Linked DNA regions of Coturnix japonica. The main gene of each other region encodes a partner of the protein of the gene in region 3 in a complex. Links are inferred from orthologs where the notes say so. Each region holds a gene or a part of one and is shown on either strand. Other genes may lie near its edges.

Region 1 (3,231 bases), on a different chromosome or scaffold from region 3:
TTTAGGACAGACTGAGCAATTTTTTATAGTATACTTTTCACAGTTGTCAACAGTTAACTCTTAACAGTGCTTTATTTTTATTTTTCCCTCTTCTAGTTTTACAAGCAAGCTAAAGACTGGTGGCTGTTCAGCTTTTATTTCTGTTTGCCACTGGCTATCACAGCACTTTTCTATACTCTCATGACCTGTGAGATGTTACGAAAGAAAAGCGGGATGCAGATTGCTTTAAATGATCACTTGAAACAGGTAAGAATTTATCCCTGATAACTTTGTTGATTTTACTGCTGTATCGTCTTACTCTTCTATGACAACTCCAGGATTACTACTAAGGAGTACTTCATAGCAGTGGTGCTAATAAACTCGTATGTGTGTCAGAGCTGTTCGAAACCTAAGAAGTTCAGTGATGATCACAAGACACTTGTGCTGTTAATACTCCAGATTTTATAGGCTTTATTTCTTTGCAATAATGAGAGCTGAGTATTTGTTGATTAAAAGTAAGATCATCTCATGACACAGAAGCTGGTTCTGTGGAATTGTTAATTATTGTGAATTAATTTCATGCGAAACTGTAATAAGGTTATCAGTGTATCAGAACAAAACACATCGCAGAATACATTCCAAGTTAGTAGTACACCAGAGGGAAACATCATGTGTCATGAATTGAATTCTGAAGACAGAGAATTAATTTACATTTTTACTGTAAAATATATTTGTGATCCATGCTTTTCTAGTAGCCCTTTATTTTGCATGCTAATTTGCAGTGGTGGTGTAAATAAGCATGATCTTCTTACCTTGATAAAGCTATAATTTCAATCTCTTAGAACCATGAAAGGAAGGACTGAGATCAAAGTGCAAGAAAATGCAGTTGAAAACTAGCTAGCCTTTGAAAGTGATTGAGCTGACGACTCTTCCTCGTTTTGATTTAAAAGACTGTTTTTATGTCAGTGATTTTTCATATCATTACTCATACTTCAGTAAATTAGAGATACAGAGAATTGGTGCAAGACATCTAAAACAACAAAGAACTTTAAGTACATATTCCAAGAAAATAAAGTACTCTGATGTTCTCTTAACTCCTATTTTTATAGGGATTTTATTTTATTAAACATTTGGATATTAGAAGGGAGCAACCATCAAGAGAGACACAGAAACTGTAATGATGTACTTTCCAATTTTCGTTTTCAGAGACGTGAGGTGGCCAAGACTGTGTTCTGCCTGGTACTTGTTTTTGCCTTGTGTTGGCTGCCACTTCATTTGAGCAGAATATTGAAACTCACTATTTATGATCAAAAGGACCCCAATAGATGTGAACTTTTAAGGTGAGGCTACACAAACAAAATACATATGTGCTGCTGGCATTCTCCATAAGGATGTCTGAAGTTTTCTTTCTTATCCAGAACATTATGTTTCACTCCATTAACAGTTGAAATTACGAGGAAGCTTACAAACAGAGGGATTCTTTCTTCTTTGCTTGGTCTTTTCCTGATCGCTTTTGAGACTGTCATTCTGTCTTGTGACATTACGTGGAAGTGGGAGAAATTCCGTCCCGATTTTTCCTTTCAACTGAATAGATAGGATTAAACTTTTGAAGAAAATGTCGGGAATATTTCCTCTCACAAGTTAAAGTGAATGGATCTTTTGAAATTACTTTCAAAAGAATGACCTACTGAATCAAACTTCGTTATTAAGCACAATCATTACCTGCATGAGTTAATCCTATCGACAGAGGCCCTTTTACTATCACATTTAATAGTTCTTCCTTGATGAGTATAGCAGAACACAATCTTTATAACTGTAAACATTTTACGAGAAAATGAGAAGTCTCACTTACTTTAATTTCCACACAGCTTTTTCCTTGTGATGGACTACATTGGCATTAACATGGCCTCTCTGAATTCCTGCATCAATCCAATTGCTCTGTATTTGGTGAGCAAAAGATTCCAAAACTGCTTTAAGGTAAGAGACTGTTGGGAGTTGCACCTCTGGTTAAGAGATGATGTTAGCTGTAAAATTAATTCTCTAACACACACACACAGTGTGTTCACTAAAGTTTACTTTAAATTTCAGTTGGATTACAGTTAAGTATTCTCACCCTCTCCCTCTGAAGCTATGTAGAAAGATATTGAGGATTCGTAGAGTTAAAAAAAAAAAAAAAGCAAAATAGCATAGCATGTAATAAACCCTTCTGGCACCATGCTCATCAGGCTACATCATTTCCTGACTGGTCCTGGCGTGTGGCCACTTTGAGAGTCCTGACAAAGCAGTCTTGGGCTGCTTTGCAGAGATTCATGTAGCCGTATCCTCTGCAACCCAGCAGAGTGAACACACTGACCCTGTGCTCCCCAGAACCTGACTGAGCTCTTGGTTCAGTAGACACATAGGTAACAAAGAGTGTATGAGTATTCCCTTGTCATTTTCAAATGCCAAGGGAAAAGTCTGATGTGCTCGTGGTTTTGTCTTGGTTTGTGTCAATAGCCCTGGGCACTCATTCTCTACACAGGACTTAAGGCTTTGGTTTGCAGCCATTCTCCCTTCAATCCTGCAGCCTTACGGCAGGCCAGATCTACCACATCTACTCAGAAAATGTCCAGATCTGACATCCAGCAGCATCAAACAGAACCAGTGTTCTTTGAGCTTTTTTCAGGCTGCTCATTGTCTTCAGACAATGAGGTTCTTATCAAGATTCTTACACTGCCATGCAGAAATTCTTAGATTTTTCTTTAGTTGCAAAGCACTGCTAGTCCTATTGCCTAGTTATATAAATTCTTCGGTGGCTGTATTTTTCAATCAGATATCAGTCAGCTCTAGTAGTGATCTAGTAGATCCAGTAGTCTACTAGTGATGTGTTATCTACCTCAAACTTATAACACACTGCAAAAGCTTTAAGTGTTGGCCTCATCTTCCCTGTCTACATAGCTGTCACTCTGAAGGAATGACTGGGGCTAAGAACACAAAACAATCAAGGCCCTGACTGTGCAGAGAGGAAAAGCCTGGGACATGCAATTTTCCCTTCCTGTCAGGACCACAGGAGGACTTTGAGAAGCCAGTCAGTCTGTAACACCATCAAGAGGACTGAAGTCCATCTGCTAGAATTTGTGTAGTTGTTCACCATTCTCCTATTTAGTTCTCCTTTTTCCCTCTAAAAATGAACTAAACAAAACTCCATTTAGGAAGCAGAGATTACTCTACATAATTTTTTCACAAGCAAGATTATGAAAGAAGTGGTTTTAT
Region 2 (4,191 bases), on a different chromosome or scaffold from region 3:
CAATTCTAACTTTTTGGACAATAGGACTCAAATGACTGTGGGAAGGGAGAACATCCAAGAGATTCAATAATTGCATTAGAGAAAGCACTCCATAATGTGTGCATGAACTTCAAGTACAGCCTACCTACCACTTCAAGAGGTTTTCCAGCACGTTCTCTTACAGATGATTCTTGACAAAGCACATTGTTAATACTAAGCATCTCTGACCAAACTGTAAAGATTTTTTAAAATAACTTTCACTAATATCACATGGACAATTTAGTGGCTTGTCAGCATTTACTCAGCTTCAAGGCAACATGACATTTTGAATTAAACTTTTATATCTGATTTGATAGCAGTAGGCTTCTTGTTATTCTCAGCCTGAACACTTACGTTCCTTGAAAGATCTTGCACTTTGACATGTTTAACAGAGATGACTTTCTAGAAGAAACGCAGCATTAGTGTTCTAGTTGATGCAGACACCCAGATTTTGTGGGATTTTTGGTTCAAGCTTTATCAAGTGATTTAAGAGAATGTCTACAGAAACGTTCTTTTAACTGTGCAGTACTCATAAAGTTTTAAACAACTTCTTACATGATTTACTACCAGGTATCTTAACTCTGCGGGCCACTAGGCATTGCATTTTTCTATTGTTCTTTTCTTTTTGTTCTGATTTCTCTAGGACCATACATTTTTATATCATATTTAGGAAGACTGCCTCAAAAGTAGAAAATTATTTCTGTGCTAAAGCCAGATGGAAACTTGCCATGAAATTGGGATCTTGAAATGATTCAACAAGGGATTCAACATTTCTTAAACTTATTAGTGTGAAGAGAACTTGAAACTGGTTCAATTTCAGGCTGCACTGCACTCTCTGAAAAGCTGTTCTTTTTTTTCTTCATAGTGAGAGAAGATTGTTAACCATGAGAGAACTTCCCATTTTTCTGTTTTTTGTTCCTCTACCTTGTCAGAAGAGCAGTATTAGGAAATGCACAAATCCCAAAACATCCTACAATTTTATTGTCTTTGTAAAAGAGGTTTTGGTGTTGAAAAATAAAAGGTAATAACAAGGTATGTCCTGGATGGACCACAGAACGTTTCACCCAAGAGCACTTTACAGATCCTGAGTTTTTGAAACTTTTGCACACCCGGTTTTACTGATTGCCTTGCAAACATAATCCTGAGCAAGTCAGGGAAAAATGCAAACAAAAGCTGTGCATTTAATCATATCTTTTTCCCCCAGTCTGGTTGCGGCTCGTAAGTCGTCTGATTCAATCAGACATACAACCTTTGCGTGAACCCAACACGCTATTAGGAGGCAGCTACAGGACTGGATGCATTCCCAAAGGCTGTTGCTTAAATGAGTCCGGTCAAGTAGTTTACCTCCATTTCAGAAAGGAAACAGTTAAAGAGCTCTCAGTGTTCCCCTGTGCCCGGGAGGCAGCCTTTGTGTTTAACGTTGGCAGGGGCTCGGATCGGGCTGCAGGCTTGTTTTAATTGGGGGAGGGGGCAGAACGGAGAGGACGCTCAGCCTTCAGTCCGTCTTTCCGTTACTGATTCAGCGGAGGTGGAGATTTTCTATCCCACCCAGTGAGCGGCGGGCAGAAGGATCTGCCCAGACTATCCCAGGAAAAGATCTCGGAGGAAATCTCGGCAGCGGGGGCAGCCGCAGCATGAGCGCGGAGCCGGGGCCGGCCGCACGGCTGGGCTGAGTGCGCGGAGCCGGCCGCGGGGCGCAGCCCGCAGCGCGCCAGGTAATGGCGGGGCACGGAGCGACTGGAGGGTGGGGTGAGGATGGATCCCCGGTGGTGGTGCGGGTGGAGGGACAGTCTTTTGTGTTAGCGGGAGAACTGCTAACACAGCAGCCCGGCAGCGAGGAGCGCTCGCTGTGCCGCTGGGAGACAACCCAGAGAAACTCACTTTGTCGGCGCTGCTTCTTTCACAGCTTTCGTGCTTTGGTTTATTAGATCTTGTTTCCACCTCAGCCGCCTTTGGGGCACACAAAGTGCTGTTCACGTTCTAGCTCTTCTTTAACACTCGGAACGCTTTCACTTCCAACAGTATGCCCTCATTGCCATTCTAGGCGCGGGGAGCTTCGAGCCCATACCCATATGTCCCCGAGCCCATACTTTGTAACTGAGCACAGGGACAGCACATACACGTGGCCTGCAGGTCTGCCGCACCGCCTCACACCGTGCGGAAGAAGGAAAATACAGTATTGCTGAAAGTTAGTAAGGTTAACTTGTTCTAAGTTGTAACTAGTAAGGTTAACATGTTAACTACATGAGGCAGGTCGCGGGCTGTTGCTATGCACTGTAATAATACACACACTGTGGATTTGTCAGGAATCCACAGGAATATATCGTTAGAAATAATTATAACACAATTTTAATTTTGCTTCTTATGGGTAAGTTTCTGCTGAGAGGGAAGAGGTGGCAACTGGCAGTTTTGTTCCTAGCTTTGCATGCTGCCTGTGTGATTACCGTGCTACCACCATGTCCATATGGCATGTGCATATTAAGTTGTCACAGGGAAGCATCATTAAATAAGGAGTATACTATATTATGACTAAAACTGTGTGTGGGAGCTATAGTCACTATGGATGATGTAAATATTTGCCTGAAAAGAGTTGTGGTAAAAAAAAAGTTGCCTGCTATTTTTGATATGATTTAGAATCCTAAAGCAAAAACACTTCCATCCTGCTGATGTTTGCTGACTGCCCTGCACTATCACTGTAACAGACGTTTAACAAAGAAAGATTTGCTGTTTAGTATATAAAACTTTGAAAGCAAGTGCACAGGTACTCACAGTTGGTCAGCTGGCCATCTCAAATGCACCAAGACAGAAGACTCAATTTGGATTACTGGTCTGTGAGGGATAGGGCTCTACATACCGGGCAGAAATATGCATTAGCATTGCAGAAGCTGCATATAGCCATGCACACACTTTTACAGATCACACAATAAATATTCACAGTGTGGCTGTGTCCAGAGCTTCTATCAGTGAGTTGTCTGCCATGGTTTTTCTGTTGTATATTGTTTTGTTTTATTATAAACTGAGTTAATAGCTCCATAGGGAGTGCAATTAGGATTCATTTAAAGGATCCTCCCAAATCCTTCATGTGAGTCTCTAGAAATCAGAAAGTTATAAATACTTTCTACTCTTCATTTGGCAACACTGACACAAACCACCTAAGGAAACCTCATCCTAAGTTAGATCAAGATTTCAAGGAAATGGATTTTAGAGTGACTTCCTTGGCTTGTACCTCCACAGGAGGTTTCACAGAAGGTTCTATCTGCCCCCTGCAGCAGGAGCCAGCGGCTCTGGAGATACACACAGGCAGTTATACCAGGAAGGAACGCTGTGATGCTTCCTTTCCTATCTGGAAATGTCACGAGTTATCACTTAGAACATTAAACCAAGTATTTTTTTATCTTTGGAAGAGCATAATTTTTTTATAATTAACTTAACCCCTGATAAGGACTGCAACATGAGCTACAGTGACATTATTCAGGAACCAGAGGCTTTTCTTTATCTCAGTACATTGACACAAGCAGTTTTAAGGGCCTTTCCTGGTCAAATGTCCTGAGACTGTGAAAGTCTTCCTCCTAATGTCTTTGGACTTTGGATACAGTGCAAATTTTGATCTTAAATATATGTATTTTCAGTCTTCTGAAATCTGGGTAATTATAAAGTTGGGGGGAAAAAAGCCCATGAAGCCTAATTATTGCAAAATATAAAAAATACTAAAAAAAAAAAAACCAACAAAAACAAATATGGTGCCTATAAGTATTAATACAGCACTGGTACCTCACCTTTTAATTGACAAAATAATAACCTTTAATTTGGTTTAAAATACCCTAGAACAGCTTCCAAGGCCTCCCTTTGATGATATGCTTTTCTTGCGAGACTGTATTTTAAAACAGAGCTTCACCCACCATATTTTGTACCTTCATATACAAATTGTCTCCAACTAAGAGGATTCTGCAGGATCTCATTTGTCTTTGTGTCTTGTTAGAGAATGAACAAATGGGGGCAATCTAGACTTCGGAGTAACACGATGATGATGAACAAGTGTTTACATACTTGTGTTATAGAAAGTGCACAAATACCCTTCTTTCTAAATGAGAAATAGGATGTGTTACCCTACTTGGTGTATTGATGTGTTTCCTTTTTTTTTTTTTTTTTTTTTTTTTTTTTTTTTTTTTTTTT
Region 3 (4,288 bases):
TCCCTTTCCGCAGCCTTTTTGCTGTCATTTCTATTACTAGAATCCTGTACTCATGGTGCATACATTTAATCAGACAACACAAATGACACAGCAGGCAGAAACTTGCCTCCTGCATTCTAGAAAGCCAGCCACACCAGCCAGAACAACAGATATAATGAATTATAGAATGGTTTGAGTTGGAAGGGACCCTTAGAGGTCATCCAGTCCAACTCTCCACAAGAGGGACACCTACAGAGGCCTCAGAGACCTGTCCATTTTGACCTTGAATGTCTCCACGGACGGGGCATCCATTATCTCTCTGGACAACCTGTTCCCAAGTCTCACCACTCTTAGTGTGAAAATCTTTTCTCTCATACCCAACCTAAATCTCCCATCTTTTAGTTTGAAACCATTCCCCCTTGTCCTATCACCATTTCTCCTTGTCCTACTGAACATCCTGATAGACCTTCTAAACCCAGTAGAATGGAGGAAAGTATCTAAGAAAAGGCAACCAGACTCCATTTCCTAATAGAATAGTCAGGACATATTTTTAAGCAATTGAGATAACATCTGAACATACTACAATATCAAGTTCTATTATTTCTTCCATAATTTAATTATGTTATAGTTGTCTTAAATATGAGTTTGCTCCCTCTAAGCAGATGGGTAACACCAAGCAGAGCCTGGTACTCTTATCTTTAAAGCAAAGAATCCAATGCACAAACAAAGCCCTGAAAAGACTCTCACTGATCCCCCAGAAAACTCTCCATCTGCAATCAACAGCTAAGCCTGTGTTGACCCAAATGGGGGAGAACTATGCACCCTACAGTGCTACCCTGGGGAACAACAGCAGGATGAGAAAAAACTCACCTCTTCATTTTCCTGCTGTCAACAAACTGTTGGTTCACGCATTTAGGTCCAATGCAACCACCAGCTTTGTTGTGGCGATGTGAGGTTTTCTCTGCTGTGGACTGAGCCCTGTTAAAAGGGAAAAGGCGCTGCTGTTAGAACAAAAAACAAGTCTGCGGTCCACAAGGTGAGGTGTCTCACCAACCGATCCTCAAGGCATGCAATAAGCAACCTTTCTGGGCCAAACCATAGAGTGCATCATAGCACCGTGAGCGCCAAGGTAGGAGGCAAGGCTCTGGGGAGATTATTCACTCAGCAAGTGCCAAAATGAGTAAGTCTACCACAGTCCAGCCCTATTCACACACGCTGCCTTTTAAAGAGTCGTAACAATAGACGCACCAGAGATCTTTTCCCGTCTGGCAGAAGTTCAGACATTTCTTGTCTCTTTGGCTGGCACATCGGCATCTGTTGCTGGCTCCAACAAGCATCTCAGGCATTATGTCCTTCAGAGATCTTCTGGACCGAGAAGGGCCTCCAAGACCATAGGGAACAGTCTTCCTATGATCAAAGAAACAACATGAAAGTCAATTCAATAATTCTGTGTGTTTGGAACAGCAGGGTATATTGGGCAATCTTATCAATGGGATTGATTGCATGAGTAAAGGTTGTGGAATTGGGATATGCCTTGTTGGTCATAATTCCCATGCAAATACTTCTGATGATCCTGCAACATAGTAATTAGAGTGGCTACTAGCACAGCTAACAACCTTCTAATTGTGATTTCATAAGGCTGCCATCCCTCCCTGTGTGATAGAAAGCAATAAAGCCTCATCTCTTTGAACTTTGGTAACTGCCAATGCTGAAAGAAGCAATAAAAACACAGATCCTCTCCACTCATTGTGGTAGTGCAGATCACCAAAGCCAGCACTGCAGAGGGTCTGGCTCCTCAGTTTTTGTTTGGTGGGGAGGGGGGGGAGATCACAGAACGGCCTGGGTTGAAAAGGTCCACAGAGATAATCTAGTTTCAGCTCCCCTGCTACTGCAATGTACAAGGTCACCAATCATTAGACCAGGCTGCCCAGAGCCACATCCAGCCTGGAGATGACAGAAGACAACACAGTTCCTAACGCTGTGAGCGCACTGCTCTGCAGCAAAGTGCTGCAGGAGATAGTGAGGGGCCACCTCGTGTACAAGCAAGTTTTCAGCCAGAGAAAATGCTCACGCAAAGGCAGGCAGAACCACTCCGTAGGCTGCGAGGAGCATCCTGCACCTTCTAGAGAGCAGCACCCAGAGCTCTGGGGAGCACAGGTGCATTGGGGAGGATTGCTTTGCTTAGCCTGTGTTCTCAGATCCCCTCTTTGTTCTCCTAGCGAACCGGCTCACTGCTGAACTCAGCAGGAAAGCAGCAGGTGGGATGCAGAACCAGGAGAGCCCGTGGCACAGAAGTATCGCTTTCCCCTTTCTGTCGCGTTCCCAAACCCCCATCCCAACACCATCGCCACCCCTCTCTGCCCCATCCCAGCGGGGCACTCACTCGGGGGTGTTGATCCAGATGATGTCGAGGTGGCAGTAGTACACGCACTCCTCGTCCAGCAGCGACGAACAGGAGCATCGCCGGGCGCGACGGTGCGAAGCGGCTGCGGGGGGCGGCGGGGATGCTGCGCTCATTTCGGCTCCGGGAGCTGCGGAGGGAGCGGTAGTGGCTCAGCACCCGGCTCGGTCCCACCGCCCGGCCCCGGTCCCCCGTGCGAGGTTAGGGCACCTACCTGCCGGCAGCAGCGCCGGGCACAGCGCGACGAGCAGCGGGAGGAGCAGGCGGCTGCAATCCATAGCGGACGACGGGAGCGGGTGGAGAGACGGGTTTAAGAGAGAGACGAGGAGAGGGAGAGGAGGAGGGACGAGGCTTCTCCCGTGGCCGGCTGGGCGCTGGCTCCCGCTGGCGGCGGGGCGCGGGGGCAGGCGGCGGCTCGGGGCGGCACGGCGCGTCTGGCTGGCGCGGCGGTCCCCGACGCCCTTTTATAGCGAACCCCCATGGAGCGGGTAAACAGCCCCGGCGCTATTTTATCCCGAGACAATGTTGTGCCGCTATTAGTCACCGCGCGGCAACGTGCGGCCCGAGATAAGGCCGGCCCGGGGAGGAAATCGCTTGCTAACTTCAGAGCGCCGGCCGCGGGCGGCGGGGGGGGGGACTGAGGGGGGAACCGGGACGGGACAGGGGCTGCAGAGGGCGCACGGCTGCCCTGCATCTCACATCTCACACCTGAGCACAAGAGCCGCCCCGCCCCAACGTGTGCTGTAGCCGCGGGGATGTCCCTCGGATCCAGCTGTGGCACAGCTGTGATATCGCGCTGTCTGGGGTCTGTGCGCCTAACAGCGGGGATGTGGGTCAGGAGGGGGCGAAGCTTTGGTGCACGCCGCCGGGATGCGGCTTTTTCAACACCTTCACACCCGCTGCCTCCTCGTCGGTGCAATGTCACGGTGAACGCACACGCCGAGCACCGTGAGGGCTCCAAACCTGGGCTCCAAACCCAGGCTCTGAGGAGCTGCTCGAGCTCCTGCGCGGAGCTGCAGCCCCGGAGAGCGTGCCAGTTCCACCTCTGATAAACAGATAAGGCCCTCTCGGTATTCGTGGTATTTCCTCGCACTGTGCTGCAAGAATAGGAGTGACCTTGGGTATCACAAAGAGCCAGGCTGCGAGCTGAGAGTCGTATTGTTTTACCCCAGGTGAATGCCCGTGGTTTTTTTGTCGGTTATGGTGTTGTTCTGAGCCGCTGTATCGTAGCGGACGGAGCTGTGCTGAGTCAGAAGAAAGTCTGCGTTGCTGCTGAGCTTTCTCCAGCAGAGGCTGTTGGCACGTGGGACGAGAGCAAGAAAGGAACGCAAGTGGAGACGAGTCCTCCCTTTGCCATAACCTCCGGGGATGAAATTTTGGGGCCTTCTGAGTAATACCTGGCATTTCTATCATGATGTTGAATAAACTTAAATGTTAAGCCAAATCCTCAGCTGAAACGCTTGTACGCAGCTCAATAAAAGCTGCTCTCTAAAGCTTCTGTGAGTGGAGGAATCTGAGCTATATGGTTGCTTACACCTTTGAAGTCTGCTTTTTCAGAGCTGGAATTGTATGTGCTTATGTATCATATCATCTTGTCCACACAGAGCAGTGCTTACCCGGTGGGATATCACTGTATCCATGCCTGAATGTGTGAACTATTACAGTAATGATAAGAATCTACCAGCAGAGGTCACCTAGCTACAAATAAAAAACTAATCTGAGCCAACTGGAATCATAAACTTTATCAGTATTTGCAAGTTGGGAAAGAAATCAGGTGGGTTTTTGTTCTCTTCTGTTCCGTTTGCTTGGCGTTAAGAAAGAAAATAAATGCAATGCAGTTATGTGGGTTGAAGGATAGCGATGATTTCTGTATAAAATAGGCACAGCCTTTCCAGGCCTGTCACTTAG

What was found.
Region 1: the proteins of EDN1 (region 3) and EDNRB are in contact, whole or in part, in a cryo-EM structure (PDB 8XWP), measured with the Homo sapiens proteins. The link is inferred for Coturnix japonica from reciprocal best matches to the Homo sapiens genes EDN1 and EDNRB. Residues at the interface, in NP_001403492.1 of Homo sapiens: Cys53, Ser54, Cys55, Ser56, Ser57, Leu58, Glu62, Cys63, Val64, Tyr65, Phe66, Cys67, His68, Leu69, Asp70, Ile71, Ile72, Trp73; in NP_000106.1 of Homo sapiens: Pro88, Pro89, Ile94, Glu95, Ile157, Asn158, Lys161, Glu165, Asp166, Trp167, Val177, Pro178, Gln181, Lys182, Val185, Phe240, Ile243, Met245, Tyr247, Leu252, Ile254, Leu256, Leu257, His258, Pro259, Lys270, Lys273, Leu277, Trp336, Leu339.
Region 2: the proteins of EDN1 (region 3) and EDNRA are in contact, whole or in part, in a cryo-EM structure (PDB 8HCQ), measured with the Homo sapiens proteins. The link is inferred for Coturnix japonica from reciprocal best matches to the Homo sapiens genes EDN1 and EDNRA. Residues at the interface, in NP_001403492.1 of Homo sapiens: Cys53, Ser54, Leu58, Asp60, Lys61, Glu62, Cys63, Val64, Tyr65, Phe66, Cys67, His68, Leu69, Asp70, Ile71, Ile72, Trp73; in NP_001948.1 of Homo sapiens: Tyr68, Gln72, Thr73, Lys74, Tyr129, Asp133, Ile136, Asn137, Lys140, Leu141, Gly144, Arg145, Trp146, Gln165, Lys166, Val169, Glu220, Phe224, Val227, Phe229, Tyr231, His236, Lys237, Thr238, Cys239, Met240, Leu241, Asn242, Gln252, Lys255.

The regions. Positions count from the first base shown.
Region 1 is NC_029516.1:138,029,484-138,032,714, forward strand, and holds part of EDNRB (endothelin receptor type B), read left to right. Parts: intron 1-96; coding exon 97-246; intron 247-1,185; coding exon 1,186-1,319; intron 1,320-1,847; coding exon 1,848-1,956; intron 1,957-3,231. UniProt on the Homo sapiens protein: Non-specific receptor for endothelin 1, 2, and 3. Mediates its action by association with G proteins that activate a phosphatidylinositol-calcium second messenger system.
Region 2 is NC_029519.1:28,053,596-28,057,786, forward strand, and holds the start of EDNRA (endothelin-1 receptor), read left to right. Parts: upstream 1-1,383; 5' UTR 1,384-1,733; intron 1,734-4,191. UniProt on the Homo sapiens protein: Receptor for endothelin-1. Mediates its action by association with G proteins that activate a phosphatidylinositol-calcium second messenger system. The rank order of binding affinities for ET-A is: ET1 > ET2 >> ET3.
Region 3 is NC_029517.1:66,442,845-66,447,132, reverse strand, and holds the start of EDN1 (endothelin-1), read right to left. Parts: upstream 2,807-4,288; 5' UTR 2,659-2,806; coding exon 2,595-2,658; intron 2,511-2,594; coding exon 2,363-2,510; intron 1,387-2,362; coding exon 1,228-1,386; intron 958-1,227; coding exon 850-957; intron 1-849. UniProt on the Homo sapiens protein: Endothelins are endothelium-derived vasoconstrictor peptides. Probable ligand for G-protein coupled receptors EDNRA and EDNRB which activates PTK2B, BCAR1, BCAR3 and, GTPases RAP1 and RHOA cascade in glomerular mesangial cells.